Canis lupus familiaris: one gene and its partners. The protein of the gene in region 1 interacts with the protein of each later gene in a pairwise test. Links are inferred from orthologs where the notes say so. Each region holds a gene or a part of one and is shown on either strand. Other genes may lie near its edges.

The links.
Region 2: the proteins of KEAP1 (region 1) and CCNB1IP1 interact in binary tests that used the Homo sapiens proteins (3 or more experiments, as listed by UniProt). The two-hybrid records come from large-scale screens. The link is inferred for Canis lupus familiaris from reciprocal best matches to the Homo sapiens genes KEAP1 and CCNB1IP1.
Region 3: the proteins of KEAP1 (region 1) and WDR83 interact in binary tests that used the Homo sapiens proteins (3 or more experiments, as listed by UniProt). The two-hybrid records come from large-scale screens. The link is inferred for Canis lupus familiaris from reciprocal best matches to the Homo sapiens genes KEAP1 and WDR83.
Region 4: the proteins of KEAP1 (region 1) and HSP90AA1 interact in a two-hybrid assay, tested with the Homo sapiens proteins (2 studies listed by BioGRID). The link is inferred for Canis lupus familiaris from reciprocal best matches to the Homo sapiens genes KEAP1 and HSP90AA1.
Region 5: the proteins of KEAP1 (region 1) and MAD2L1 interact in binary tests that used the Homo sapiens proteins (3 or more experiments, as listed by UniProt). The two-hybrid records come from large-scale screens. The link is inferred for Canis lupus familiaris from reciprocal best matches to the Homo sapiens genes KEAP1 and MAD2L1.

The regions. Positions count from the first base shown.
Region 1 is NC_049241.1:51,052,891-51,056,390, forward strand, and holds part of KEAP1 (kelch-like ECH-associated protein 1), read left to right. Parts: intron 1-1,405; coding exon 1,406-2,091; intron 2,092-3,376; coding exon 3,377-3,500. UniProt on the Homo sapiens protein: Substrate-specific adapter of a BCR (BTB-CUL3-RBX1) E3 ubiquitin ligase complex that regulates the response to oxidative stress by targeting NFE2L2/NRF2 for ubiquitination.
Region 2 is NC_049236.1:17,803,861-17,808,135, forward strand, and holds the start of CCNB1IP1 (E3 ubiquitin-protein ligase CCNB1IP1), read right to left. Parts: upstream 2,801-4,275; 5' UTR 2,798-2,800; coding exon 2,703-2,797; intron 2,412-2,702; exon of another isoform or gene 2,280-2,411; intron 1,018-2,279; coding exon 690-1,017; intron 1-689. UniProt on the Homo sapiens protein: Ubiquitin E3 ligase that acts as a limiting factor for crossing-over during meiosis: required during zygonema to limit the colocalization of RNF212 with MutS-gamma-associated recombination sites and thereby establish early differentiation of crossover and non-crossover sites.
Region 3 is NC_049241.1:49,840,053-49,844,024, reverse strand, and holds the start of WDR83 (WD repeat domain-containing protein 83), read left to right. Parts: upstream 1-1,172; 5' UTR 1,173-1,241; coding exon of another isoform or gene 1,242-1,347; 5' UTR 1,348-1,462; coding exon of another isoform or gene 1,463-1,512; 5' UTR 1,513-1,896; coding exon 1,897-1,999; intron 2,000-2,076; coding exon 2,077-2,197; intron 2,198-2,296; coding exon 2,297-2,402; intron 2,403-2,944; coding exon 2,945-2,993; intron 2,994-3,067; coding exon 3,068-3,194; intron 3,195-3,972. Other genes in the region: WDR83OS (protein Asterix), read right to left, coding at 475-541, 631-728, 1,242-1,347, 1,463-1,512. UniProt on the Homo sapiens protein: Molecular scaffold protein for various multimeric protein complexes. Acts as a module in the assembly of a multicomponent scaffold for the ERK pathway, linking ERK responses to specific agonists.
Region 4 is NC_049229.1:70,501,558-70,505,826, forward strand, and holds the start of HSP90AA1 (heat shock protein HSP 90-alpha), read right to left. Parts: upstream 2,801-4,269; 5' UTR 2,644-2,800; intron 2,230-2,643; coding exon 2,068-2,229; intron 1,927-2,067; coding exon 1,560-1,926; intron 1,196-1,559; coding exon 1,062-1,195; intron 783-1,061; coding exon 462-782; intron 254-461; coding exon 88-253; intron 1-87. UniProt on the Homo sapiens protein: Molecular chaperone that promotes the maturation, structural maintenance and proper regulation of specific target proteins involved for instance in cell cycle control and signal transduction.
Region 5 is NC_049239.1:56,410,676-56,414,953, forward strand, and holds the start of MAD2L1 (mitotic spindle assembly checkpoint protein MAD2A), read left to right. Parts: upstream 1-1,478; 5' UTR 1,479-1,598; coding exon 1,599-1,671; intron 1,672-2,754; coding exon 2,755-2,901; intron 2,902-4,278. UniProt on the Homo sapiens protein: Component of the spindle-assembly checkpoint that prevents the onset of anaphase until all chromosomes are properly aligned at the metaphase plate.

The DNA.
Region 1 (3,500 bases):
CATCTGGGGTGACTGTGGGAAACAGCTGAGGAAAGTGAGAACTTCATGGGTCTATGTCTGGGATCCCCGACTTCTCTGGGGTCAGGGCTGGGGACAGGGTGCAGCTCAACCTTAGGGTACGCTATTGGGGGCCTAATATTTCAGACAGTCTGCAAATATTTATTGAACACCCATGACATGCTTCCTATCTCAAATGTGACCCTTAGACATGTTTCCTGTGGTCCATGCTGTGTTGTCCTTACCCTGTACTTGGTTTCATTTTCGGTTTTAAGTGGAGGAAGTTGTGAGCAGAAAATAACAGATGCCTTGTAAATCACAATGATGAGCCCAAATTCTTGGGTAGCAGCTACTAGAGGTTGTGCCCCTGGGATGATGATAATAATAAGTGTTTGTTGAACATTTGCTGTGGGCCACCCCCTGTTCTAAGTGATTTCCATTCTTTAAATCATTGGATTTTCCCCCACTATCCTTTGAGGAAGTACCACCCTTAGGCCTGGCCCAACAGGGCTGTACCCCAGGCCCCACGCTTTAGGGAGTTCTGTGCTTTAGTGTGCCTTCCTGGAAATTCTAAAAGTCCTCTTCCAGTGGCTGGGATCAGCTAGGGTAGATACTGCCCTGGTTTCCATCTCTTTTCTTAAGGGGTGGATGTTCTCCTTCCCTCTCCCCCACATTGGGGTCGACCAGATGCCCTGAGGAGCGCTGGCGTTTGTCCTAAGGCCCATGGCTTCCTGGAAGGTGAGGGTGGTCTGTGAGCAGGGCTTTCCCACAGGCCTGCAGTGTTTCTTTAAAGGGACCGTGTGGGCTTGAGGTACCAGGACATTTGTGACCTACCAATATTGGTAATTGAGTTATTTATATAGACTAGTGCCTGACAAGAAATATTTGCCCAGGACCCTGTACACCCGAGGAGTAGCCCCGGCTCTGAGGTAGCTACTAATACAATTGCTCTTACAGAGGAGGAAAAACAAGGCATGGAGTGTTAGAGATATTTGCCCAAGATCACCTAGTTAGAAAGTAGTGGGCCAAGTTGCAGCTCAGCCTTCTTTCTTTAGAGCCTACACTTTTTCTAGAATATTCTGTCCCCATTACTTTTTCCTTTTTGGTCCATCTACCCTTTTGAAAAAGTAATTTTGTTGAAAATAGAGGTAACAATCTTGTAGTTCAAGCACACAATGATACAAAAAGGTACATAGTAGTGCCTTCACCCATCTACCTGAGTACTTAGGTACCATATGCCTGTAGCATTAACTCATTTAATCTTCTTCACAACCTATGAAGTTCACACTATTCGAATCCTCGTTTTACAAAATAGGAAACTGAGATTGTCAGAGGCAGGTTGAGTGACTTGGCCGTGATCATACCGCCGTTGAGGGGAGTCAGCCTGTCACAGTAATGCCCTCTGCAGGTGGCCAAGCAAGAGGAGTTCTTCAACTTGTCCCATTGCCAGCTGGTGACTCTCATCAGCCGAGACGATCTGAATGTGCGCTGCGAGTCCGAGGTCTTCCACGCCTGTATCAACTGGGTCAAGTATGATTGTGAGCAGCGGCGCTTCTATGTCCAGGCATTGCTCCGGGCTGTGCGATGTCACTCGCTCACACCCCACTTCCTGCAGATGCAGCTGCAGAAGTGTGAGATCTTGCAGTCGGACTCCCGCTGCAAGGACTACCTGGTCAAGATCTTCCAGGAGCTGACCTTGCATAAGCCCACGCAGGTGATGCCCTGTCGGGCGCCCAAAGTGGGCCGGCTCATCTACACCGCTGGTGGCTACTTCCGCCAGTCACTCAGCTACCTAGAGGCCTACAACCCCAGTGATGGCACTTGGCTCCGATTGGCAGACCTGCAGGTGCCTCGTAGTGGCCTGGCGGGCTGCGTAGTGGGTGGGCTGCTGTATGCTGTGGGCGGCCGGAACAACTCGCCAGACGGCAACACCGACTCCAGCGCCCTGGACTGCTATAACCCCATGACCAACCAGTGGTCGCCCTGTGCCTCCATGAGTGTACCACGCAATCGGATTGGGGTTGGGGTCATTGATGGGCACATCTATGCTGTCGGTGGCTCCCACGGCTGCATCCACCACAACAGTGTGGAGAGGTGAGTGGCAGGGCCTGGAGGGATGGGCTCGGAGGTTCCCATTGCTGACAGGCCCCAAGCCATTGGAATTTGGGGATTCCCCCTGTTGTTGAGTGCTTGTCTCTGTCCTGGCTTTAGGGAGGGGAAGCCTCAGGTGAAGCTGAATTCATGGGGGATTTATGGTCAGTGACCTTGGATGATGTGTCTGGGCCTGGGAATTGCTTACAGGGCTGTCCCAAACCCATACAACTTCTGCAGATTTGGAAAGAGTTCTATCAGTTGGAAGTTGTTATAAAATGCTAATTTTATTAAGACATGACACCTCACTGCCATCTGCCCCAAAATTGCTGTAATAAACTGATGTATGAGGTCTTCTGTGTGGAAGGTGCCCCCTTGGATGTGGGACTCTTGTGCAGTGTACAACATGCAGAACTGCATGATGACCCTGTGTTTAGAGCCTAAGCAATTTTGGCTTTTGACTTTTGCCAGACAGTCCTCTCTGCCTTCTCCTCTTTCAGAAGCTTGATCCAGGATACAGTTCTCAGCTGGAGAACTTGTTAAACTCCCTAGCCCACTGCTGGAGATCTGGTACTGGTGGGTTTGGAGCGAGGCTGGGGAATGGGAATTATAACCAAACAGCACACTTGTACGAAAACCATCCTGGGTGGCAGCCTAGTTGTTAGAATTAAGATTCTTGTGTCTTTTTTTTTTTTTTTTTTTTTTAAGAATTATTTATTTATTTATTCATGAGAGACACACAGAGAGAGAGAGGCAGAGACACAGGCAGAGGGAGAGGGAGAAGCAGGCTCCAGGCAGGGAGCCTGACGTGGACTCGATCCCGGGTCTCCAGGATCACACCCCGGGCTTCAGGCGGTGCTACACCGCTGCGCCACCGGGCTGCCCAGATTCTTGTGTCCTAGAAGGCTGGGTCAAACCTCCAGCTCCTTGGTGACCCTGGTCTTGCCATTTCATCCCTCCGTGCTTCTATCTTGTTATCTAAAGATGATGGGGGAAGTGGGAGATGATAGTAAGGACTACCTGCCCAATGGTCAAAGTGGGTTTTGCTGAGCTAACATACAACACAGCACAGGGCCTGGCAGTGCTATATGGTGGAGCCACCACCAGCGTCCAACAGGTGCGTGTGTAACCTTGAGCAGATGATGGCTGTGAACCTGTTTCCTCAGAGAAAAGCTCTGAGGAGTAAAGAGTTCAGGTGCATAAAGAATTAGCAGCATATTGGGTCATAGTAAGTGTTCCACACAGGTCAGCTGTGATTGCCATTGTTACCGTTACTATGCCCTTGCAGGTATGAGCCAGAACGGGATGAGTGGCACTTGGTGGCTCCCATGCTGACTCGAAGGATCGGGGTGGGAGTGGCTGTCCTCAACCGTTTGCTCTATGCCGTCGGGGGCTTTGATGGAACAAACCGC
Region 2 (4,275 bases), on another chromosome or scaffold:
TTTTTGAGAGAGAGAGAAGTGCACACAGGGGAGGGGCAGAGGGAGAATCTTAAGCAGACTCCACAACTCAGTGAGGAGCCCAAATCAGGGTTTGATCTCGAGATCCTGAGATTATGACCTCAGCTACGGTCAAGAATAGGATGCGTAACTGACTGAGCCACCTGGTGTCACAAAATACTATAATTTTTACAACTTTGAAATGTACTCATTCACTTTCAGGAATTTATTCTTAGCCAAGAATTAAATACGTGAATTTGATGATAAGAAAGCTCATCACTTTTATAGCTTGAAAATAAATTATGATGCAATACAACTATTTAAATTATGATAGGACAACTAATTTAAAAATATTTAATAAAATATTCATAATAAGCATAATATACCGTCAGCTTTAAGTGATATTACCCATATTTTTGGATAAAATATATATTCACATATGTAATACATACTTATGCACAAAAAAAGTCCAGTAATACACAAACAAAAATACCAACAATGATCTTTGACCAATGGCATTATGGTCAATTTTTTTATTTTCTTTCAGATTTCAAAAAACAAAATTATTTTTAAAAAAGTTTTCTATATATTCATGAAAAATGAATACAAACACAGTGAATAAAAAAACAAACATTAGAAGCTTCCACATACGCCTCAAATCCTGCTGTCTGGAAACTGTCCTGAGCACTAACCTGGTACGTCCAGAAGGCCAGTGCTCGGGAGCTGATGTCCAACACGATCTCCGGTCGGAGTCCAGCCAGCACCATGGCTTTGTACTCCTCTGAGGGACTGAGTTCCGTGCGGACAATGTCCAGCTTTCCAGAAAGGGTACTGTTGCAGGCAGGGCAGATAGCTGGGGAACGACTGAACTCTCCACTGCCGTGCTGATCGCAGAAGATGTGGGAGCAGGCAGTGACCCAGGCATAGCCAGAGAGTTTGAGTCGACACCTGCGGTAGTTACACAGCAGCATGTCTTCACACAGAGACATAGCAGAAAGTCTCCCGAAGCTGAAAGGAAACCTAACAAGGGGTAAATATGAAGGTCAAAAGAATCAAATGTCAGTGAAAATGAAATAGAGCATGTTTTCATTTTATTATAAAATATTGTACTTTGTTGTTTGTATTTATTATAATCAATATATCATATACATTTTACTCAGTCATATTAACTGTGCTCCTTTGTGTAAACCTCTAGAAAGCCCATGAAAAAAATTTTTAGAGACAAATTTTTTTTAAGATTTTATTTATTTATTTATTCATGAGAGACACAGAGAGAGAGAGATAGAGAGGCAGAGAGAAGCAAGTTCCCTACAGGGAGCCCGACGGGGGACTTGATCCCAGGACCCCGGGGTCATGACCTGGGCCGAAGGCAGGCGCTAAACCACTGAGCCACTCAGGTGTCCCTTAGAAACAAATTAAAGACACAAGTAGTCCAAATCTTATTAAAGCCAAAAATAATATGTATATGTTAAATAAACTTTAGGAACATTTTCAAAATACAAATAATAATTAGTGTCTTTTGCCATTCCTCAACACCTAAACAAAAAAGCCAAATTTATCACCCATCTGTAGTTTGCTAGAATATTTTACTATCACTTCTCACACTTGGCAGATAGAAGTCCAGGTACCAATTTCAGCCATTCTTTTTTCTTTTTTTAAAAAGGTTTTATTTATTAATTCATGACGGAGAGAGAGGGAGGGAGAGACAGAGACAGAGACAGAGAGACAGGCAGAGGGAGAGAAGCAGGCTCCACGCAGGGAGCCCGATGGGGTACTCGATCCCAGGACCCCGGGGGTCATGCCCTGGGCTGGAGGCAGATGCTCAGCCACTGAGCCACCCAGGCGCCCCAATTTTCAGCCATTCTTTAGTGCAAAGTGTTTTTTAAGTTGCACTTTTAGGTTTTTCATATCCTCAGATTGTTTACCTGTGTTGCCTTACCTAAAAAAGAGTAGTGATCTGATAGCATTTAGTGGAAAATAACCAGTCCAAGCAAATAACCATTTATATAAAAGCTGATTCATTTTTACCACCAAATAACTCACCTATTAATATAAATACTATTGAATATTATACTTTCCGGGGGGAAAAAAAAAGTTGTTAGAACTAAAACTCTTACACAAATAAATACCCTTAAGTTACTTTTCAATGTAACGTCCCCACTCCCTGGCTTTACCGGCCCAGGCTGGACAGCGACATCCTGGATGTACCAAAATCATGCATTATATGAGAAAATTGCGACGCCCCGACTATACGCCAAGGAAAATGCTCCCACCAAACACACCTCTTAACCAACGGATTCCGTCAAGAACGTTACTTTGATGAAAGAAAGAAAAAGAGAAGAGAAAAAAGAAAAGATGCCGAGGTCACAGGGTCGAGGGCACTCCGACACCTGACCCCGCAGGGACTGGCTGAGTTGTCTCCACGGCTGGGCGGCCCCGCGGCCTGAGTGTCAGGCCCGGTTCCCCCCGCGGGGTAAGGGGCACAGGCAGCCGGGAGGGTCGGGCCCGGCCGGACCGGGAGGAGGACCGGGAAGGGGGTCGGGAGGGGCGCCGGGAGGGAGGCGCGGCCCGTCCAGCGGCGCCGCGTGCAGGCGAGGGAAGGCGAAGGGCGGGGGCGTCGCGCCCGCCGACCAGCCCGGGCTTCCGCCTCCCCGTGGCCCCTACGGCAACACCCCGACACCGCCGATTCCAGCCGCGCGTCTGACCTGAGGCCCAGGAAAAGCGCGGGAACACGCCGTCGTGTCCACAGCCCTAGGCGCCGAGCCCTCGCCGTCCCGCCTCTGCTCCGCCAGCCGCGCATGCGCAGTCCCGCCCCTCCACCGGCGCCGGCACGGGCTTCCGGCCGCTCAGCATGCTGGGCCCGTGGGGCTGTGGCCCACACGCAGGCGCACGTGCCCCACACATGCGCGTCTCCGGCGCTGAGGCGCGGGTCCCGCTGCGCGGTCGAGGGGTCGCGGCGGGAAGGCCGTGGTGCTGCGCTCGCGAGCTTGCTCCTTCCCGGCACCGAGGCCCCGTCGGCAGGGCCGGTGCGGCGCGGAGGTCGGTGCCCGGGCGGCGCAGGGCTTGTCCCGGGACGGCGCGCGCTGGTCAGTGGCTGGTGCAGAAGCGCGGAGACGCGAGGTGCCGCCCTGGGGAGACCCGGGCTCCACCGCGGTGCTGTGCCGCCCGCGCCAGGGACACCCGTGAGCACCTGCGCAGGACACGGAACTGCTCCTTGCTTCACCTGTGTCGGAACGTGCCCAGCGGCGCTGCGAGGCGGAGGAGGACCGCGTCCGCCTGCCCCACAGCTGCCAGCGCTCCCGACGCCTGCCCCACACCTGCCTGAGGCCTGCCCCACACCTGCCCGGCACCTGCCCGACACCTGCCCGTGCTCCCAACACCTGCCCGACACCCGCCCGAGGCCTCCGGACACCTGCCGAGGCCTGCCCCACACCTACCCAAGGCCTCCTGACATCTGCCCGAGGCCTGCCCCACACCTGCCTGACTCCTTCCCCACACCTGCCCGCCACGTGTTGCACATCTGCCCGACACCTGCCCCACACCTGCCCGACACCCGCCCGACGCCTGCCCCACACCTGCCCACACTCCCAACACCTGCCCGAGGCCTGCTCAACACCTGCCCGACACCTGCCCGCACTCCCGGGACCTACTTAGAATCGTTCAGAGGTTTGCCCGCGTCTTACCCTCGTGCTGTTACCTGCTGCTCTCTGTGCAAACTGCGTGATTTCCTGTGCAATCCATAGGAGTCTGTGAGAATCGATATAGGTTCTAACAGATCAGTAGAGAAACTATATTGATCAGGAGCCGAGGGTTTGAGGGGTCCCAGGAATACAGGCCTTACTGCGGGCTTCATCACGGCCACGGGCGACCCCACCGTGAAAGACGGACATGGCCCAACAGAGCAGCACACGACGAGCACCACCGCCCCGCAGACCCCCGTCCTGAGTCCTGAGCTCTAATCCTGACACCAGGGCCCCGCATCCCCCCTGCATCCTGAGCTCTAATGCTGACCCATGCTTCACACACACCCGTCCTAAGTAAACAGCTTCCTGCTAGTTTTCTTCTGCTTGCAGAGGCTCCCTAGTAGCTAGAGTCCTCCTGGCCTTTGCAGACAGTCCTTAAAACCTCCCGGGGAGTTTACCGTGGTCCCAACTGGGCTCAACAGAAGTAAAGCTCCGTGTGTGAACCCGCAACAGCGCCGTTGGCCGTCCGAGCCTTCGTGCAGTTTCTGATTGTGACAGTGCCAGACGTAGTACAACAAAAGGGCACGAGCTCATT
Region 3 (3,972 bases), about 1.2 Mb from region 1:
GCTGACTTAAGTCACAAGGCTTGTGAAATAAGCAAGTGAACGACCAGAAGGCTCCAGGCTAGAGGCCCACCATAGGCCTGACTGAGTTGGAGGATCTGAAGCCCTTCCCCCACCAGGAAGAGCACCCACAAATGCACAGAAGAGAGAGGTCGCAAAGAACAGCCAGAATGCAAAATTTTATTATTAACTGGTTTAAACAACAACAAAAAAGACGAGTAGATACACGTAGAAACATGGACAGCATCTCCCCCAGCAGCAGGCAGGGTGGGGAAGGCAGGCAGGAGGGTAGGCCTAAGGTATTCCCCTCTGCCCAGCAGAAGTAGAATCCCAGGGAAAGGGTCAGGTTCCCTCCATTCAGCTGCAAGCCCGGAGACTACCTCATTCAGGGGAGCCCAGGACAGCAGCTGAGGGCAGAGGCTGAGCAGCCAGGGGCCAGGCCTGGGGGAATGTGTAGAGAGAAGTCCTAGGCTGACATCACCAGGGGGGTGTCATGGGCTGCGGGTTCTGCAGATATGACATGACCACAGCAGAGATGGACAGCCTGAAAAGGGAAAGAGGTGTCAGTCCAGGCAGGCTTGGGTCCCCCTCTCCAACTACTCAGGAGTCCTCCGTCTCTAGGCCTAGACTCACATGAAGCTACTCATCATTTGTTTAGTGTCCTCAGAGCTCCGGGAGTTGGCAAAGCTGATGAAGGAGCAGTAGACGGCCACCCACGCGCACCACTTCAGCTGGGGAAAGGAAGGTGGATGGGGGTATTTGGTCAGTGACAGGCACACTAATGAGCCTCCAGAGGGGTTCCAACCCCAGGCACAGGTTCCAACCCACTGATTCCGCCGGATACAGCCTGGCCCTCATTCCCAAGAATCCCGTAGCCTACTCCAGGTACCCAGTTTCTCGTCCTACTCTCTTGGCCTGCGTCTCTGACCCCAGCACATAACCTCAGGCCTAAGACTGGCCTGTGACATAACTTGTGATGCTAAGAACCCCATCCTTTCTCCAGGAGGCCCCTCCAAATTGCTTTAAAACCTGGCCCCGCCTTCAAACTGACCTCTCGGGTACCCACCCCTACCTTCCTTCCCTCCCGCGCTCCGGCTTTCTCCGCCCAGCAGCACCTAAGCCCCGCCCCCGGCCAGGCCCAAGCCCCGCCCCCTAGCGCGGGCCCCGCCCGGTTCCGAATCCGCTGCCCCCACGGGCTTCGCTGTCAGGCGAAGCGATGCCGGAGGAAACCCGGTGCCGCCCACCTTGAGCATGAGGCCGCACATGCTGAAGATCATGCCGAGCAGGTTCATGTAGTCCGGCGTCGGGTCGTCCAAGGCCGGGTTACACTCGCTCGGCGGGGGCTTGTACCTGCGGCAGGCTCAAGGGTCAGAGGCACTCGAGTCCCGCCCCCGAAATGGACAAGCGCTTCCCTGGGCCTCGCCCCACAGCCCGAGCCCTGTTCCCATGACGTCGGGGTCCTCACCTGAGCACTTTGTTCGGCCTTCGCGGGTCCGACATGTTGTTAGTGGACATGGCAGGTCGGAGGTCGTGCCTCTTCCGCTGCGGGAGTTGCAGCTTCCGGCGCAGAAACGGAGGGTGGCTTTTGGAGTGACACCCTCGGTCTTCGAGCTTCCGTTCCTGGCGGCGGGGGCCAGGACTCCTCCAAGCCGGGGGACAGAATTAGAAGAGACCAAAAATGTTCCTTGAAAACAAGAAGTGGGGAAAGAAACCTGGGAGCTGGAATCAGACTTCGGTATTCCCAATATTATCCCGAAAAAGCCAAACCTTTGAACCGGAAGTGAGAAATAGGAAGTAGACTACGGAAGACAATAAGGTTACATCCAAGCGTGGGTGCCGAGGGTTCGGAAGCTCCGGGGCAAACCGATGTAAGGCGGCGACGAAGGGGTCCCGAAAACGATGGCTTTCCCTGAGCCAAAACCACGGGGCCCGGAGCTGCCGCAAAAACGGGTGAAGACCCTGGACTGCGGGCAGGGGGCAGTGCGAGCTGTACGATTTAATGGTGAGCTCGCTCTTCATTCCGGGTTCTCCTGCCTTCTGAGGTCCGCAGCCCTCTGATCCCTTCCTGCTGTTCCCCAGTGGATGGCAATTACTGTCTGACGTGCGGCAGCGACAAGACCCTGAAGCTGTGGAATCCGTTGCGAGGGACGCTGCTGAGGACGTACAGTGGCCACGGCTACGAGGTGCTGGACGCGGCCGGGTGAGCAGTTGGGGCGGTGGGTGGGCGGCCAGGCCGCGTGATCCGGTGCAGAGGTCGGGATCTGAGGTCAGCACTGACCTTCCTTCCTCTGTCCTCTAGCTCGTTTGACAACAGTAGTCTCTGCTCCGGCGGCGGGGACAAGGCGGTGGTGCTGTGGGATGTGGCATCGGGGCAGGTCGTTCGCAAATTCCGGGGCCACGCGGGGGTGAGTACAAACAAGAAGAGCCCTCATTAGAGCCTTGATGTCAGAGAAGGCCCGCATTATCGTGTAGGTGATGACAAAGACTCCTTCCACCCCCACCTATTACAGAGTGAGGATCCTTTCCCAGTGGCCCAGCATGCAATTTCCCCAAAACCTTTCACCTCCCCACCCCCCCTCTTTTTTTTTTTTTTTTTATTTGAGAGAGAACATGAGCAAGGGGGAACAACAGAGGTAAAGGGAGAAGCAGGCTCCCCACTGAGCAGGGAGCCCAACAGGGGACTCGATCCCAGAACCCTGAGAACCCAGAACCTGAGCCAGGACCCTAGAAAGTGAGCCGAAGGCAGACACTTAACCAACTGAGCCACCCAGGCACCCCTCCTTTGCCCTTGCTTTATTTATTTATTTATTTTTTAAGTTTTGGCATTTTTATATCCAACGCCTCCCCCACCCCCCCATTCCCTTGCTTTAACTTGCATCAGGAACCCTGCCTTAATCTCAGTTTTCCAAAGTCCAGCTTCCTCTGAGTGGCAATTCCTGTTTCTCAGAAGGTGAACACGGTCCAGTTTAATGAAGAGGCTACGGTCATCCTGTCTGGTGAGTCTGGGGCCTAGGCAGGGTACTGCCCCTGCTGCCCAAACCTGACTTCTACCTCATGCTGGTCCTCACAGGCTCTATTGATTCCAGCATACGATGCTGGGACTGCCGATCTCGGAGGCCTGAGCCGGTGCAGACACTGGACGAAGCCAGGGATGGCATATCCAGTGTGAAAGTGTCAGACCATGAGGTCCTGTCAGGGTGAGTGGAGCCAGGACCTCACCCCTCTGCTGGTGCCCCCGGGGATCACTGCTGCCTCTCTACTCAGATTAAAAGCAACTCTTCGGGATCCCTGGGTGGCGCAGCGGTTTGGCGCCTGCCTTTGGCCCAGGGCGCGATCCTGGAGACCCAGGATCGAATCCCACATCGGGCTCCCGGTGCATGGAGCCTGCTTCTCCCTCTGCCTGTGTCTCTGCCCCTCTCTCTTTCTCTCTCTGTGACTATCATAAATAAATAAAAATTAAAAAAAAAAATAAAAAAAAAAAAATAAAAGCAACTCTTCTCACCTTAGCTTACAAGGCCCTGCACAGTCTGGTCTCTGCCGATCTTTTAGCTTTTATTCAATCCAGGTCTCATTTCTCTTAATATACTAATCATGCTCTCATCTCAGGACCTTTGCAATTGCTCTTCCTCTACCTGGACTCCCTTTCTACTGAAAGTGTTTTTGAGCATCTCTTGCATACCACTTTTTTAGTCAGTGAACACTCAGCAGTGGATAAAATAGGAAAAAAATCTCTGCCCACATAGGGTTAATATTCTGGTTGCAAGAGGCAAATAATTAAAATTCCCAAAAAAGGCTGCCCTTTTGCTGCCACAATGCAAAGGAGTGCCATTCCCACTAGTTTGGGCTGCCCAGTCTATTGCCTCATCTGTTCCCACACATCTCCTCCTGGACCACACGTGTTTGTCTCCTTATCAAGTCCCAGTTTAGAGGTCACCTCCTTGGGGTGACCTTCGTAGATGACTCTCAGTCAGCAAG
Region 4 (4,269 bases), on another chromosome or scaffold:
CGATCCCGTGCCCCAAATGCTTGAAACTCAAGTCCAGAAAAGATTCACCACGGGGCGGGACAGAGCCTCCCATCTAGCCACACTTACTCAGATACTCAGGGATCAGCTCTTCGCAGTTATCCATAATGAAAACTCTGCGAACGTACAGCTTAATATTGTTCTTTTTCTTTCTGTTCTCGAATAGGTCAAAGGGAGCACGTCTTGGCACAAAGAGAAGGGCTCTGAACTCCAGCTGTCCTTCAACTGAAAAATGCTGTAAAAATATACACGGGAGGTCATCATCAAGGGACACTGCAACCAACCGCCCCTTGACGGCTACCTTGCCTGACCCCCCACAGGCTCTGTCCCAGAACTTCCAGCACTTTCAGGGACTGGAATGACCAAGCCCTTGGCAGCACCCGCACCCCAACCACCTCAGGCAACCTGGAGGGTAGACTAGGTCTAAAGCACTGGGTGCTCACCTTCACTGCCAAGTGATCTTCCCAGTCATTGGTCAAGCTCTTGTAAAATTCCCCATATTCTTCGTTGGTGATGTCGTCAGGGTTCCTGGTCCAAATAGGCTTGGTTTTGTTCAGCTCTTCCTGGTCAATGTACTTCTCCTTGATCTTCTTCTTTTTCTTCTTGTCTCCATCCTTCTTTTCCTCCTCCTCCTCATCCGAACCAACATCTTCTATTTCAGGTTTGTCATCAGACTCTTTCTCTTCCTTTTCTTTTTCTTCCTCTTTCTCCTCCTTTTCTTCAGCCTCATCGTCACTGACTTCTTTATCACGTTCCTTCTCCACCTTCAAAAGAAAACGCAAAAATCGCATCACCTCTGCATCCTGGAGCTGAAGAACACGCTCTGAATGCAGCGTGGGCACTTACACCAAAGCCCAAAATACCGAAGTAACAAGTATTTAGCAGCCAACATTTAATGTCTCTAAACCACCGTGTGTACATTGACAGAATATTTCTCACTAATCAAGTCAATGCCAAGTTTGAATCTTTCATCCACAGGTCTAATAAGTAATAATTTCAATTCACTAGTTTCAGACTCTACTACACCCCATGTGGACACTCACAAAGAGAGTAATGGGGTAGCCAATGAACTGAGAATGTTTCTTCACAATCTCCTTTATCCTCCTCTCCTCCAGATACTCAGTCTGGTCTTCCTTCAGATGCAGGATAACCTTTGTTCCACGACCCATAGGTTCACCTGTAAAGGGGTAAACGGACTCAATTTCAATCTGAGTGAGCAAATTCAACGTATCTGAGATTAAAAAAAAAAAAAAAACTACAAACTCCACAATCCCGCTCTCCACACACCACATGCAACAATTTCAGAGCAACTTTACCACGTGGGGTTTAGTTATACCGATGTAGATACCAGAGCAGTTCACCTCCTGACCCGACTGCAGAAACCAGAGGCTCCTTGCTACAGTCACGTGCTACGTGCCACCACCCAGCTCACTCCAGGACAGGACGGAGCAAACACGTTTTTGCCAATCCCACAGCATCTCCAGCCCCCCTCCTCCCCGCCCCCACCACCGAGTGACCCGGGAAGCCGTTCTGAAGCGCACCTGTATCCGTCCTAACCGTGAACGACCCTCCAGCCGAAGACTCCCAGGCATACTGCTCGTCGTCGTTATGCTTGGTGATCACCGTCACTTTCTCAGCCACCAGGTAGGCAGAATAAAACCCGACGCCAAACTGGCCAATCATGGAAATATCTGCGCCAGCCTGCAAGGCCTCCATGAACGCCTTGGTCCCCGACTTGGCGATGGTACCCAGGTTATTGATCAGGTCGGCCTTCGTCATGCCAATGCCGGTGTCCACGATGGTCAGGGTTCGATCTTGCTTGTTCGGAATGAGGTTAATGTGCAGCTCCTTCCCAGAATCTAGCTTACTGGGATCGGTCAAGCTCTCGTATCTGATTTTGTCCAAAGCCTATTAAGCAAGCGGCGAGCGGTTGAGTCGGGCGCTCCCGGAGGGGGAGGGGGGGAGGAGGGAGGGGGAGGAAGGGAGGAAGGGAGGAGAGGAGGGCTCCGCCGCAGGCCGCGACCCCCGCTCCCAGGCAGCCCCACTTACGTCGGACGAGTTGGAAATCAGCTCCCGGAGGAAGATCTCCTTGTTCGAGTAGAACGTGTTGATGATGAGGGACATCAACTGGGCGATCTCCGCCTGGAAGGCGAACGTCTCCACCTCCTCCTCCTCCATCGGCTGATCCTGGGTCTGGGTTTCCTCCGGCATCTACAAGGGCCGCGGGGCCGGTTAGGCGCCCCCGTCCCCGTGCCCCCGCCCCCGCCGGGCCCGAGCCGGGGGCCGCCGACAAAGGATGACCTCATTTCCAGCTGCGACAACGAGGGCCGTGCGCACGCCGCCGCCGGGCGCCGCAGGCCCGCGGGGACCCCCCGCCCAGCGCCCCCCCCCCGCCCCCGGCGCCCCCGGAGCTGCGGCCCGGCCGCCCGGGGTCCCGTCCGCGGGGGTCGGGGTCGGGGTCGGGGCCGCAGTAGGCCCGAGGCCTCCCCCGCCGAGCGCTCGGCCGCGCCGCGCCGTCCCCGCGGGGCCCGGAGGCTCCAGGAGGCCCACCCCGCGCCGCGGCCCCCGACCCCGCGGGGCCCGACCCCCGGCGCCCTCCGGGGACCCCCCGGACCGCCCCCTCACCTCGGCTACAGGACCGCACGGGCTCCGCGACGACGCAGCACCAGGACGCAGAAGCAACTGGCGCGCCGCCCCCGCGCTTCCCTTATATAGACGCGGGCCCGCCCGGCGCGCGGAGCCTTTTCCAGAAGCCTCCCGAACCTTCCGGAAGAACCCTCCCCAACCGCCGCCGCGGCCGCGCGCCTGCGCCTGCGCCCTGGCCGCGGCCCCGCCCCTCTCCCGGCCGCGCGCGGGCTCGCCCCGAGCGCCCCACCCCCGACGCCGCCCCGCGCGTCCCCGCGCCGGCCTCAGTGCGCAGGCGCAGCCCGGAACTCTCGCGAAGGTCTCGCGCCTTCCGGGGCCGCCGTCTGCAGCGCGGCTCGCGCCGGGGCCCTGCCCCCACCCCGGCCCTGCGCCGCCAGCGAGGCGCGCGGGCGCTCTGGAGCCTCCCAGGCCCGCCCTCGCTGCTTCCGCCGCGGGAGCGCGGTGCTCCCAGACCGTGTCCCCCACTAGTGTGCACGCTTCGGGGCCCCGCGCGCACGGCCGCCCCAGCACAGTCGGGGGCTGCCCCGGGGAGGGGCAGCGCTGGGAGGGCGGATCCAGGGGCACAGTCGGGGGCTGCACCCGGGGCAGGTGCGGGGCTGGGAGGGCGGATCCAGGGGCAGAGTCGGGGTCTGCCCCGGGGCAGGTGCGGGGCTGGAAGGGCGGATCCAGGGGTCACCGTCGGGGTCTGCACCCGGGGCCCCGGGGCAGGTGCTGGCTGGGAGGGCGGATCCAGGGGCAGAGTCGGGGTCTGCCCCGGGGCAGGTGCGGGGCTGGAAGGGCGGATCCAGGGGCACAGTCGGGGTCTGCCCCGGGGCAGGGGCAGCGCTGGGAGGGCGGATCCAGGGGTCACCGTCGGGGTCTGCACCCGGGGCCCCGGGGCAGGTGCTGGCTGGGAGGGCGGATCCAGGGGCACAGTCGGGGTCTGCCCCGGGACAGGTGCGGGGCTGGAAGGGCGGATCCAGGGGCACAGTCGGGGTCTGCACCCGGGGCCCCGGGGCAGGGGCAGCGCTGGGAGGGCGGATCCCGGGGCACAGTCGGGGTCTGCACCCAGGCCCCGGGGCAGGTGCTGGCTGGGAGGGGGGATCCAGGGGCTCGAGGAGCCGAGCGGGGTCGCCCGGCATCTGAACGCCCGGGCGGCGATCAGAGAGGCTCGGCGCTGCGACTGGGGGCTCAGGTGTAGGGCGCTCCATCTCTCTGGCCGGGGCAGCGATTCTGGGTTCAGGGCCCTGGAAGTGGGGCAACAGGTGCCTACAAGAGCCTCGTGATGCGGAGGCCCCGGCTCGCGGCCTGCTTCAGGGGTGCGGAGACGCCAGCCCCTGGCCGCGTGTGGGGCGGGGGCCGGACTGTGCGCAATCCCTGGTTTCTGCCTTGGCCTGGAGGGAGCCCCGGACCGTGGGGGGATGTTTGGACCAGGGGAGCCCCAGGGACCTCCAGGGGGCCGTCCTGAAGGCCGTACAAGGGGCATCCCTGCCTCCCTCCTTGGCCGCGGAATCTCCAGACCTGCAGGCCGCTGCTTGGATTTGGGGGCTGGTCCTTCTCTTAGGGCGCACCGTGGGCAAGGGAAAGTTCTGAAGTGGCCACACAGACCCCCAAGTTCTCCGAAGC
Region 5 (4,278 bases), on another chromosome or scaffold:
ACAGGTGGGGAACACAGTCACCAGGTCCAGGTAAGGCCAAGCAGAGGACCAGTGTCACCAGGGCCAGGTGAGGCCCAGATGGGGACCGGAGTCACCAGGTACAGATGAGGCTAGAAGGAAACAAGGGACACAAGGTCCAGGTGAGGTCCTGGTGGGAGCCAGACTCACCAGGTCCAGGTGAGGCCATGGTGAAGATCAGAGTCACCAGTTCCGTTGAGGCCCAGGTGGGGCCAGAGTCACCAGGTACAGAAGAGGTCAAAGTGAGGACCAGAGTTACGAGGTCCAGGTGAGTCCCAGTGAGGAATAGAGTAACCATGTCCCGATGATGCCCAGGTAGGGACCAGAGTCACCAGGTCCAGATGAGGCCCTGGTGGGGAGCATATTCACTAGGTCCAGGTGAGGCCCAGTTGAGGACCAGAGTCACCAGGTCAGGGTGAGGCCCAGAGGGGTTCCAGAGTCATCATGTCCAGGTGAGGCTCAGGTGTGGAACAGAGTAACCGGGTCCCAATGATGCCCAGGTGAGGACCAGAGTCACCAGGTCTGGGTGAGGCCTAGATAGGATCAGAGTCACCAGTTCCAGGTGAGGCCCGAAGGAGTCCACAGCAGTCAGGTCCAGGTGGGGCCCAGGTGGGGACCAAAGTCACCAGGACTGGGTGAGGCCAGATGGGGACCAGATTTACCAGGTCCAGGATTTAGAGTTAGGGTTAGGGTTTAGGCTTTAGGGATTAGGGCTGGAGGGACTCCATCCCTGGTCTCCAGGGTCACACCCGGGCTGAAGGCAGCGCTCAACTGCTGGGCCACCAGGGCCGCCCCCCCCAATTTCTTTTTTTTGTGTGTGTGTAAGATTTTATTAATTTATTCATGAGAATACACAGAGAGGAGAGAGAGAGAGAGAGAGAGAGGCAGAGACACAGGCAGAGGGAGAAGCAGGCTCCACGCAGGGAGCCCGACGTGGGACTTGATCCCGGGTCTCCAGGATCACGCCCTGGCAGAAGGCGGCGCCAAACCGCCGAGCCACCGGGTCTGCCCCCCAGTTCCTTAACAGCTGCGCCCGCACACAGTCACCAGGCCTTCTCAAGCTGTGGCTGGACCGCCACGCACGCGGTTTCTTGACTGACTCCCAGAGTATCTAAGCAAGTTTCAATCGCCCACTAGGGAGTGGGCGGGGTCCCTGGGCCACGTTAAGATGCAACTGGCGCGTTCACATCACTCTGAAAATAGCTTTGAAACTGACGAACCGGGATCCTGGGCTGCTCACTCCGCAGGCCTCGGGAGCGGGCGTCAAAGCCAGGTTTTGCGGTCGTCTCGCCTCAGCTGCGACCCGGCGACCACAATTACAGGTGCTCGGTAGGGACCCTTCCGTGCCCGACAACCCGGAAGTGCCTGACCACGCCTACCCACTGCGCCTGCGCGAGGCGCCCCTCCCGCGAGCGAGGAGACTGGCGCTGGGCCTGCCGGGAGGCTCGTCGCGCCTGCGCGGAGGGCCCCTGGCGTGCTGCGTCGTTACTTTTGAAACGACTGGCGGGGAACTTCCGTTGGAGGCTGTGGCGTCGCCGTCCGCCGGGCAGCAGCGCGCTCCCTCGTCCCTAGGCCTGGCCATGGCGCTGCAGCTCTCCCGGGAGCAAGGCATCACCCTGCGCGGGAGCGCCGAAATCGTGGCCGAGTTCTTCTGTAAGTCCCCCTTGCGCAGGCCAGAGGGCGGGGAGAGCTGAGGCCAGGCCGCCCTGGAGGCCCGGCCCGGCCACGGAGGCGGGGGTCGGGGTCGGCTCTCTTTGCTCCAGCGCCCGCCGGGCTGGAGAATCTAATCTAGGAGGAGGCGGATGCAGGCGCCACCCCCGGGCGCCTCGCTCCTGGTGGAGCAGGAAGCCCAGGTGCTGCCGAGGCCCGCCTGGCGCTGCGGCCCCTCCACCAGCAGCCTTGCTTTATTTTTTTTTAAATTTTTTTAATTAATTAATTAATTAATTTATGATAGAGAGAGAGAGAGAGAGGCAGAAACACAGGCAGAAGGAGAAGCAGGCTCCATGCACCGGGAGCCCGATGTGGACCGGGAGCCCGACGTGGGATTCGATCCCGGGTCTCCAGGATCGCGCCCTGGGCCAAAGGCAGGCGCTAAACCGCTGCGCCACCAGGGATCCCAGCAGCCTTGCTTTAAACGGCGGATCCGACACGCTTCCCAGCCCGGCCCCAGCCCCACGCCTACGCCCACCCCGAGCGGGGTGGGGCCCCAGTATATCTTGAATAGCCCTTCCACCAAGCTTTGACCCCGGTACTGACGGCGATGGACTAGATTTAGGAAACTCTGTCCTGGACCAGGCCATGTTTGTACCCTCTGATGGAATCTGGTAGGAGAAGAGGAGGGAAAAGTGAGGGAGAGGCTTGCTTTGGAACATTGGACCGGTTAATCAGTTGCTAATCCAGACGCAAAAGCCTATTTCGACACCCTGTGATCACATAACCTGAATTGGGGCTTGCATTACCGTGAGCTTGTAGTTCTACTTTGACACTAGGTTAATGCAGTTTGGCATTTTTAGTTCCGCATAAACGCAGGTATCGTGTTCTTTTTACTTAGAAGCAACATTTTTAAGGATTTTCAGTGGCACTTTTCACTTACTCTGCTTTCAGCAAGACACCCACAAATGCACGTTTAGGCTTTTTCAGTTTGATACCAGGAATGAAACCGCAGCCACATCTAAATAGGTTTTATTTTCCAGAGTTGCAAAGTGAAAATGACTTTAACATTCCTTTTGTTTTCAGCATTTGGCATCAACAGCATTTTATATCAGCGTGGCATATATCCATCTGAAACCTTTACCAGAGTGCAGAAATACGGACTCACCTTGCTTGTAACAACTGATCCTGAGCTCATGAAATACCTAAATAATGTAGTGGAACAACTGAAAGGTATTTAATTGTTGAAAACCATTTTGAGTTTTGCAGGCTTTCTTGGACCCGTACTTTCTGGCATCTTGGTGTTCATTTTTCAGCGCTATACAAAGAGGTGTAAAACACTGCAATTTCAAATACAGTGATTCTCAATCGGAAGGAAGCAAATAATAAGTTGAAAGAAAGTCCACTCTTCCCTACCACATTTTGAGTGGGCTAAATACTTTGATGTTAGAAATCTGATCTGGCTTCACAAAACAATCTCTATCAACTCCCTTTGAAGTGATTTTTGCAGTTCGTGTAGCCAGGTGGAACAAGTTGGAATTTTACATAACTATGATGATGTTTATTATTGGAGAGAAATCCACTATATATTTTTAACATGATATATTTTCTATAGCTGCCTAGAGTTTAAAACCATCATTATTTTAAGATAAAATGAAATTGAATCCAGCCTGGGAACTAAACTTAAAAAAAAAAAAAAATACTACTAATAGAGTACCCAATAAAGTTTTTTAATGTCTTACTGTCTTCAATTGTCTTTGTTAAAATCCTGCCTGTAAGTTAGCCATTTCTATCTGAACACTCACTGTTTTTTCTTAGCTCAAGAAATTACTGAATACTTGTTGAATGAATACTTGTTCTCCATCTATTCTTTTTTTCCCCCCATCTTTTTCTCTACTTAGGATTCTCACTTCTAATTTTTCTGTGTTATAGGATGTTTCTCCCTGGCTCCTCATTTGACCTTCCAAAACTAGTTCCCAAAAAAATTACAGTAATTTTTTTTTAATTCCTGAGTCATATATATATTTTCTGTTTCAAGGGGCTTTATTTTTTAAATTCTATTAATCATATTTTTATCATCTTCAGGGCTAAATCACCCAGGGCTATACTCAGATTACTTAGCCTGAAACATAGAAGTAACTAAGAATCTATGTCACCTTAATTTGATGAAGAAGCAAGCCCTGCCTAAGCTACTGATTTTAGGTTGTCTCCTTTAAGACTACACTGATGACATTTCACCTCAGTTGTATGTGAGTTGTATGTGAATTAAACCTTCCGATTTAATTTGTCCCTTTTAGTTAGAATGGAGGAATTGCTCTTCTTAGAGGCAAATTGTTCGATCTCTTTGAATCCCCATCACTCTAGCCTTCCTAAGGACTTTACCCTAGTTCTTCTCTGGTATTTCTGACTTCTTTGTTTTGAGATATTTTCATTGGTTTCATCTGTCTTCAGTTTTAAAAGAAAAAAATTTCCACACACCCCAGATCTTTAAGTGACTACCCAATCTCTTCCTTTTCAGAGCAAAATTGAGAAAAAGCTGATTTTTGTCAAGGGGTCAGCAAGACTGACCGCCCATATCCAGCAAGTGGCCTATTTTTGTACTACCTGCAA